2 linked regions of the Mus musculus genome follow. The protein of the gene in region 2 binds, or shares a complex with, the protein of the main gene of each other region. Links are inferred from orthologs where the notes say so. Each region holds a gene or a part of one and is shown on either strand. Other genes may lie near its edges.

Region 1 (4,025 bases), about 130 kb from region 2:
TTCCATATTTATGTTGGATTCTGGGTTAATTAAAAGTTAATATCACATCAACAAATAGTACCTTTCTTATTTTTCTTTTCGTTGATAATTAACTTAGTCATGGACATTATATTTTCCCTAAAAACAAGACAAATAATATGACACAGAGAACAGTACATAAATTGTTGGAAAAATCAAATTCCCCTCAAATGTTGTAGAAATCATTGCTTGAATATAATATAAGTAACTAGTTGGAAAGCTTGTATGGCTATAGCCCAAATGTTTGTATATAGTCTCTTACACAGATTATGTCTGATAAACCCATTTTTTATTAAGTCACTTATAGGCTCTCTAGTTGAGGTCTTTTTTTTATAAAATTATATTTTTAAAACAAATAGTTTAAAAAGATTTGACTATAGATTTGGTAAAACATTACCACTTCATAAAACTCATATGGGAGAAAGAATTGAATTTTTTTTAAATAATGACAAAATGGAAGCTATATGTTCATATATATACATTAGTAAATATTTTTGATAAAGATGGAAAACCAATCAAAAAATAACAGCCAGCAATGAGGCTTTTAAGACTAGTCCCTCATTTAGTGGAAATGACAAAATGAGACGTTAAGTCATTTACTTGCTTATTTGTCTGTCTGTCTGCACAGTGCAGCGCAGCGCAGGAGACCAAACCCAAGGCATCAAACATGCTGGGCCAATGCTCTGTCACTGAACGACATGTCCTGTCCCTAGCTCTATGATAGCATTCCACAAAAACATCTAGATTTTGTTCCCTCTGCTATGACCTCTGTGCCCTACCCTGCTTCCCACCCTCTCTGCTCCTTACACAGATGTCCATGTTTCCTTTTGACATCTCTTCTACTCACCCCTCTTGACCTTCAGATTCCTTTCTCTAAAGCCACTGTGCAGGAAGAAGGTTCTAATAGCCAGCTACATCAACAGCCAAAAGTAGGAAAAGAGGAAGTTTACTGCAGATACTATATTAGGTGTTGTGTCCATCAAAGATATTGAATCAAGATGGTGTGTGTGTGTGTGTGTGTGTGTGTGTGTGTGTGTGTGTGTGTGAACATCTGTGCATCTTGTTCTAGGATTTGAATCCAGATCCTCATGATGTCAGGCATTCACCCTACAAACCAAACTATACCCCAGCCTTCTAATAAATCCTTAAATTTCCAAACAGCGTCTGGTCTGTGGTTCCCTTCCAGAGCTCAGGCTGTTGTAAGCACTTGAGGAAGGCCATACACTGATGCTCTTGAGGGTCAGACTGTCACCTGCCATCCATTGCTGGTGCCCCTCCCCCTGTATCTGTTTAGGCTCAGTTTGTGCACGAAAGTGACAGCAACAAGGAGGAAAGGGACCATAGGGGAAAGCAGCCCATCTTCTCCCCACGAGCATAATCCCTCTGGAAGGCGGTCAAGTGCTTACAAGAGTCGTTGGGGATGGGGACTTGGAAGGAGCCAACTTCAAAACAGATCAAAAGTGAGACTTTGGCTGTGGGGTAGCCTGCAGGACAGAACACAGAGGGAAGAGGAGTCCTCTTGTTTCCTGCGGAGAATAGCAACAGCAGCGTGCTTGGCCCTGGCCCTGCACTGTGAGACGTTCCCCAGCCCCTGGTATGCATAAAACATGGTATCCGTTCAAAACTCTAGTAATGTATCTATCAACTCTTCTGATACTTCTACAGAGGAACAAAGGTTAACTGAAGTAATTCCAAAAACTGCTAAGATATTAAAAGATATCAGGAACTAAACGCTAGTTACTTTTGCCAGCCACTTAAGACTGAGTGAGAAGCAGCCACCTCCCTGCTCACCCGGCAGCGACTGTCAGTTGTGACCCCATTGACAGTGTCAGCCAAGCTCGGGCTCTGGACACATCTAAAGCAAACATGCACGGGATAGCTTTCCTTCTTGCATGTGGAACAACTCACCCCTGAGCTACTGAGCGCTTAGGCAAAGCATCCTGAATGAGAAGCTCACCTCTGAAAGGCACCTAAGGCAGCGACGACCCACCCACGACGTGCCCAGGATGTCCACCCTCCGCCAAAGCAAATGCTGCAATCGTTTCACTGAACTTGCTCAGTGGAGACCTCACAAAATGCGTAGATGTGTCTGGCTGTCTAACTAGCTGTCTGGCTGGTTCTATACAGATCCAAGTAGGAAATTTCCTAGCAAGAAAATGACCACGGACTTGATCCATTATCGAGTCTTAGTCCATGCGTTTACCCTCCAGGGGCTATGACGTTCTGTGACACAAGAAAGACAATGCTGGGGACCCCTGCGCAGATAAGATTGTTTTTAGACACTGTAACCAACGCGGAGCAAACAAGCAAACAATAAATAAATAAATAAATAAATAAATAAATAAATAAATAAATATACCTTGGCTTTGGCTCCAGGGCTTAGTCCCCCTACTGGTGCACTTGAGCTACCAACAGCCTGCCCACCGTCTGAAGATGTAAATTTCTCCTAAAGAGCAAAGAGTAACAAATTTAGTAGAGAAAAAGCTGCTGCGTGAATTGTAAAGGGGAATGGCTAACAAAGTCTCTCTCTATATATATATCAGTGACATCTTTCCCTGTTTCCAGCCGGTTTCGGCTCCAGCCGGCAGGATTGTGTAAGTCAAACTTTGGAAACCTGATCCCACCTTCTCGCCAGCAAGTCCCCTGAATCCTAGAAATAGCGAATGCCTTTACTGACGGAATACTAGATCAAAATCAACAGCTTACAGCCAGTGACTCCTCAGAGTGGTTGGGGATCTCTCTGTAGCAAGCCGAGGAGCTCACGCACTCCATGGGACGACAAGTTTTCCTCCCGGGTCAGCAGCCGGCGAGTGGATTATTTTTAGGGTGGTGGGAGGCCAGCTGCTGCCTCCTATCGCGTTTCTCCTCCGCTGCGCTGCGCTGTGGCCTGGGGCGGACACTGCCGCGCCCTGGCAGGAAACTGCAGGCACCCCAGACGCCTGAGGCGGGGACCCTCCCCATCCAGGACCCTCTTCACCCCCACCCTCCTTGCCCGGATCATCCCTACCTGGGACCCTCCATCACTCCGGCCATTCCCATTCAGGACCACCCTCCCCCAGACCCTCCACACCACTCCCCACTCCTCCGGAGCTGCTCCTACGGGTGAGCGCAGTGAAGATGTGCCAAACTCACGCCATATGTGGATCCCCCAAGACTCCACCAGAAAGCGGAACTTGCAAAAACCGACCCCCAGACCCTCAAAGAGGAGGCTTATCAGATATGAAAACATGGAAAGTATCAGCTCTGCAGGCAGCCTTAGCTTTAGCCACCAAAAAATGATTTAAAAGTGCCATCCATTCGCCCAGCTTCGCCCCCAGCAGGACTGAGAACTGAATAGTTCATTCTAGGCAAAACAAACTGCCACCAGGCATGCTTGTCTCACTTGGATGGGCAGGCACAGGGCAGAATCTTTCAGTGACCCGGGGAATTTGCCTGCTGGTCCAGACTAATGGACCAATGGCACTTGTCTGAGCACTCCAAAATTTGAGTTTGATTTCAAGTTTCAGCATCAACAGTATTTTTTATTTGTTCATTTGTTTCATCGCTTTCACAAACAGATATAATTAACTCTTAAAATAACAAAACTTGCTTAAAACAATATCTATTGAAGGCAGACTGTGGTTGGTGTTCTTCTGAAATGCCATCATTTGGGGGAAAGATGCAGGGAGTTCAAAGCAAGAAGCAGACACATAGCAGGTTAGAAGCCAGCTACACACACACACACACACACACACACACACACACACACACACACACACACACACACACACCCGCTTTTGATATAGATATGCATGTATATGTGACACTCCACAATAACTTTTCCTCTGGTGGTAAGGGGTGAATTTTAAATTAAAAAAAAATTTTTTTTGAGGGGGTGAAGGTTAGACACCCTGGCTTGGACTCAAACTCGCAGTAATCCTCCTGGCTCAGCTTCTAGATTGTTACGATTACAGATATGAGCCATGATCACACTGGGTAATTTTTGGCCTCAGTAACTCTTGAATAAA
Region 2 (4,203 bases):
TGCCCTCAGCAGCCAAGTCAAGGCCAGTAAGTCCATGAGAGAGACTCAGCATTACAGCATCAAATCTCTTAAACACAGCCGAAATATTTAAACACAGAGAGGACTTTGTTCTCCATGTCCCTAGTTGTCTGCTCACCTGGGGTTCTTATTCTCATTGTTGTTGAGGCAAAAGCTTGAATAAAGAAAATCCTATCTGCCCAGTGGTAAAGCCCAGGTCTTTCTAGTACATTGCTCTCATGACAAATCTGAGCTGGAATCTGTGTGTGGTCTAAGGTGATGTCTCTCTTTGACATGTCGGCCTGGCAATTACTTGGCCAAGTGGAAGGGCAAGTAAGATCATGAGGAGCTCTGCTCCCAGCTATGGGTGTCTATGCCATGCTCTGCTACTTTTATAGGATCCAGGACCGCTGGAAGTCCTTTCCTGCCTGGCTGGAGCGCCCTCAGTCTCTCTGCCTTAGCAATTATGTCTCCACCCAAAGAAACAAACTAAAAAGTTTGCCCCATTGCAGTGTTTGGGGCCTCTTGGGAATAGAGAAGAGAGACGTGGAACCCCAGTGCGTGTTAGCTGACTTTGAAGCATCCCTAAATGCAGAAGTCAAATTTAGATAACCTAAAAGCTGCCTTGTTCCTGCTCTGTGGAAGCTTTGGAAAGAGACCTCAATATCCACTTGCTGTCTATTCAACCCCGTTTGTGAAAATCTGGACTAATTTTCACTACAACTCTCTCTTCTAAATTTTAGAATAAGCTTTAATTTTTTTAAATCTAAAAAAATCTGTCAGAGATGCCAAAATAACCTTGATAAAGAAGGGCTTTTATTTACTTCTGTTATTTTATTTTTAGTGTATTTTAAAATTAAGACTGCTTTACAGAAAAAAAATATTTCTTGTATTTGCACAGTGCTTTGGATGGACTGGGAATATTTCCTGGTGCACACTGGACATCCTTGTGGTGAAAACGAACTGTGGTTTTTTTTTTTTGTTGTTGTTGTTTGTTGTTGTTGTTGGGGGGGGGGGAGTCAGGAATTCTTTGAACCCATCCAAGGTCAGCACAAAGAAGCAGTCGCACATTCTCAGAAACCTGTTGGTAAAACTACATTTACAAAGACTTTAATGTGCTAACTTCAACCCTGCACCCTGTATTTGCTTTTTGTTTCTGAACTGCCCAATGAAGACCCTTTATTTCACAATCGACTAGCTGAAAGAGCTTTTTATTTCTACTTTGCTGGTAACTCCATTTCATTCTTACCTGACATTGGTCACACAGACAGCGGACTCCAGGCCACTCTTCTCCATGGTGCCTTTCTCCATGTAAGCATAGATGTCCCCGTGGGCGAAGGCCACCAGCCACCACATGATAGCGAAGAGCAGCCAGCTGCAGAGGAAGGACATGGTGAAGATGACCAGCGTGTGACGCCACTTCAGGTCTACCAAGGTGGTGAAGATGTCCTGCAGGAAGCGACCTTGCTCTCGGATGTTCTTGTGTGCCAGGTTGCAGGCTCCGCTCTTGGCGATGAAGCGGGCTTTGGGGAGACGGTCGCGGATGCGCGGTTTGCGCAGGTTCTCCGCTGCGATGCGCGCCAGCACATACTCCTCCGGGATGATGCTCTTCCTGGCCAACATCTTCCTTTCACCATAGCCCGCCTATGCACCTGCCTGAACCTGTGGCTCCTTTCCTCCACACGCGTCCTCCTAGACTAGAGAAACGCTTATTAAAAACTGTCAACTTCATTTCCTCGTCTCAGGTATCTGTACAAAGGGATGCTGTTTTACACACATATTAAATTAAAGATGTGATCAATACAAAAGAGAACCCACTTTGTGTCTGAGGTCTGGGATCCCAGAGAAAACTTTTGATCAGAACCGGAGGAATCCCCCCCCCCCTCTCTCTCTCTCCTCCCTGCTCACTCTTGGAAATAACCGCTATAAGCAAATCTTTAAGCATTTTCTGTATATTCTTTTGTGTCTCGGGATTAGTCAGGCAAGCCTGAGGACGAAAATTAAAGGCCAAGTGGGTTCACTATCTACTTGCTAAACTATTTAGATAAAGTAGCAAGGTTAAAAGGAAAGATGGAGGGATTCTTTTAGTAGCAGCGAAGAAAACTGCTTCCTGTTCATTAAGAAAATATTAACTGTAATTAAAAGATACCAAACATTGCGTTTTCGAACTTGAAAATGATTGATATTAAATTGGAAGGATTTACGAGATGCGTTTTAAAAGGCAGCCAGACTCCCCGCCCCTCCCTCTGAACCTATATCATACTATATGCTGGAAAGTAATTTGCGACGCGGGGATTAGAGACACTGCTGAGGTCTGCAGTGGATTTGCACAGCTCGAGCCAATCTGGGTACACCTTGACTGTTTGGCTTTGGGCTGCGCTATAGCCGGCTTCCCCTCCTCTCCCCGGGAGGCGCGATGCAACTTACAGACTCGGGTTTGCGCTCCCGGCTGCGGCTTGAGCTCCGCACAGGGCGGGCTGGTCCCAGGCTCTCGCATCCCGGGAGCAGAGACCTCCCGAAGTGCAGATCCGGGGGATGTTGGTCCTCCAGAACTGAGTTAAGACTCTAGAAGGTGCGATCCATAGTGCACGCGGGGAGGAGGGCTGGAAGATGAGGGTTGGGTTTGGCTTCCCCCCTCCTGCTGCCGGGCCACGGGGAGGGCGGGGTAGGAGCTGGGGATAGAGGTGCTAGTGGCCATGCTCCGCCAGCTCCTCAGCCGCCTAGCTGGGGCCAGACCTCCGAGCGAGCCGGGGAAAGTGGAGGCGGAGGCCAGTCGGGGGAGCCGGGGAGGCAGGGAGCCGGCCAGAAGGGAGGGACCACCGGGGGAGGAGGCACCAGCCGAGCCAGCTCGGTTCCCAGTAGCCCGGATTCTGCTGCCAGACCGGCACACACATCTTTAAAAGGCTCGCTGCTCAGAGAACTTTCTGAGCCCAAGTTCACTGACGCAAAGAGATTTTAATTTATTATTTTTTAAAGTGTAACTTGCGGGGGGGGGGTATCACTGGGTTACTTCAGATGAAATAAAACCAGATAGAGAGAGTGTAGGTGTTTTGGGTGGGGTGATTGTGGGGTGAGCGTGGGGTGAGGGTGGGGTCCCTGCCCTGAACTTGTAAATCTATTCGTGTTAGAATATAGAGGGGTGGGAGGGCTGAAATCCTTTCGGAAAAAAAACCGATTTCACCAACTAAGACCAGTTTTCAGGCACTTAAAGTCACACAAAAGAAACAAAAAGGGAAACAAAGATAGAGACTAACAACAAAAACACCATCAACAGTCTCTTCCAATAAAGAAAATTTACACCCAGCAGGACGGCTAAGCAAAGTCCAGCACCACACCTGCCTTCGGGGCAGGCAGGCGCAGTCGCGGCTCCGTTTTGACTCTTGGCCGCAGGCCTCTCCCTCCAGTCTAGATCGTAAGAATGATAAGACTGCTCACTTGCGCACAAGAAAGATTATACAGTAAATGTCTTTCTATAGCTTTTGAGAAGGAGCGGGGGTGGGGGTGGGGGAACAAATGTGCTTTTTTTCCCCCCCGCCGGTCATCCTGCTTTTGGCGTTTGTATTAATGGAAACTTTAATTCTTGGAAATTTTATGTTTTCCAAGACTTGAGGGTCGGGAGTATCCGAAGTATAAACAGCATGTTAATTTACTAGAAAGACCTAAAATTAGTCTTTAATGAAGGAAAATGAAGAGCCCCCCTTCCCTTTTTCCACTGTGGGTAGATCTGCTTAACCCCTTGCATTCTGGAGGGCCTGTCCTGTCAGTGAGATTCTTTTTGTTTCCTTTGTTTTCTGCAGTAATTCATGTTGTAGCCTCATAGCAGCCATGCAGACAACATTTGTGCTGTGAGTTCTGCCACTGAAATACAGTTTGAAGTGCACCTTGCTGTGCAATTTACTGTCTACTAATTTAACACCAAAAACATTAAACTCTTTTTTTTTTTTTTTTCAGAAGACAGGGTTTCACATATTCTGAGTTGGCCTCGAACTTGCTGTGTAGCCTATGGTGACCCTGAACTTCTAATCCTCCTGCCTATCTTCCTTGTGCTGGGATCGTAGGTGTGTGCCATCATGTCTGGGGTTTGTTTTGTTTTGTTTAAGACCTTGTGCATAGACAACCACTCTACCAACTGAACTACACGGCTACTCCTCTGTGCTTATGTGATTTCATTGCTGTCCTTTGAAACAGGAAGTTGTTATGAAACCC

Evidence for each region. The genes of interacting proteins can lie anywhere in the genome.
Region 1: the proteins of Kcnj8 (region 2) and Abcc9 are in contact, whole or in part, in a cryo-EM structure (PDB 7MIT), measured with the Rattus norvegicus proteins. The link is inferred for Mus musculus from reciprocal best matches to the Homo sapiens genes KCNJ8 and ABCC9. Residues at the interface, in NP_058795.3 of Rattus norvegicus: Met1, Leu2, Lys5, Ile7, Ile8, Pro9, Glu11, Tyr12, Val13, Leu14, Ala15, Arg16, Ile17, Ala19, Glu20, Asn21, Leu22, Leu45, Ala46, His47, Lys48, Asn49, Gly54, Arg55, Phe56, Leu57, Asp59, Ile60, Thr62, Thr63; in XP_038963045.1 of Rattus norvegicus: Phe5, Ile10, Tyr13, Asn14, Ile15, Val19, Asn22, Cys24, Phe25, Ala28, Leu29, Val32, Val35, Phe36, Phe39, Phe42, Pro43, Ile44, Phe46, Ile47, Gly48, Trp49, Gly50, Ser51, Lys55, Gln57, Ile58, Asn129, Phe130, Lys132.

What each region holds. Positions count from the first base shown.
Region 1 is NC_000072.6:142,699,440-142,703,464, forward strand, and holds the start of Abcc9 (ATP-binding cassette sub-family C member 9), read right to left. Parts: upstream 2,836-4,025; 5' UTR 2,725-2,835; intron 2,465-2,724; 5' UTR 2,378-2,464; intron 2,121-2,377; exon of another isoform or gene 1,976-2,120; intron 1-1,975. UniProt on the Homo sapiens protein: Subunit of ATP-sensitive potassium channels (KATP). Can form cardiac and smooth muscle-type KATP channels with KCNJ11. KCNJ11 forms the channel pore while ABCC9 is required for activation and regulation.
Region 2 is NC_000072.6:142,568,760-142,572,962, forward strand, and holds the start of Kcnj8 (ATP-sensitive inward rectifier potassium channel 8), read right to left. Parts: upstream 2,856-4,203; 5' UTR 2,425-2,855; intron 1,695-2,424; 5' UTR 1,621-1,694; coding exon 1,247-1,620; intron 1-1,246. UniProt on the Homo sapiens protein: Inward rectifier potassium channels are characterized by a greater tendency to allow potassium to flow into the cell rather than out of it.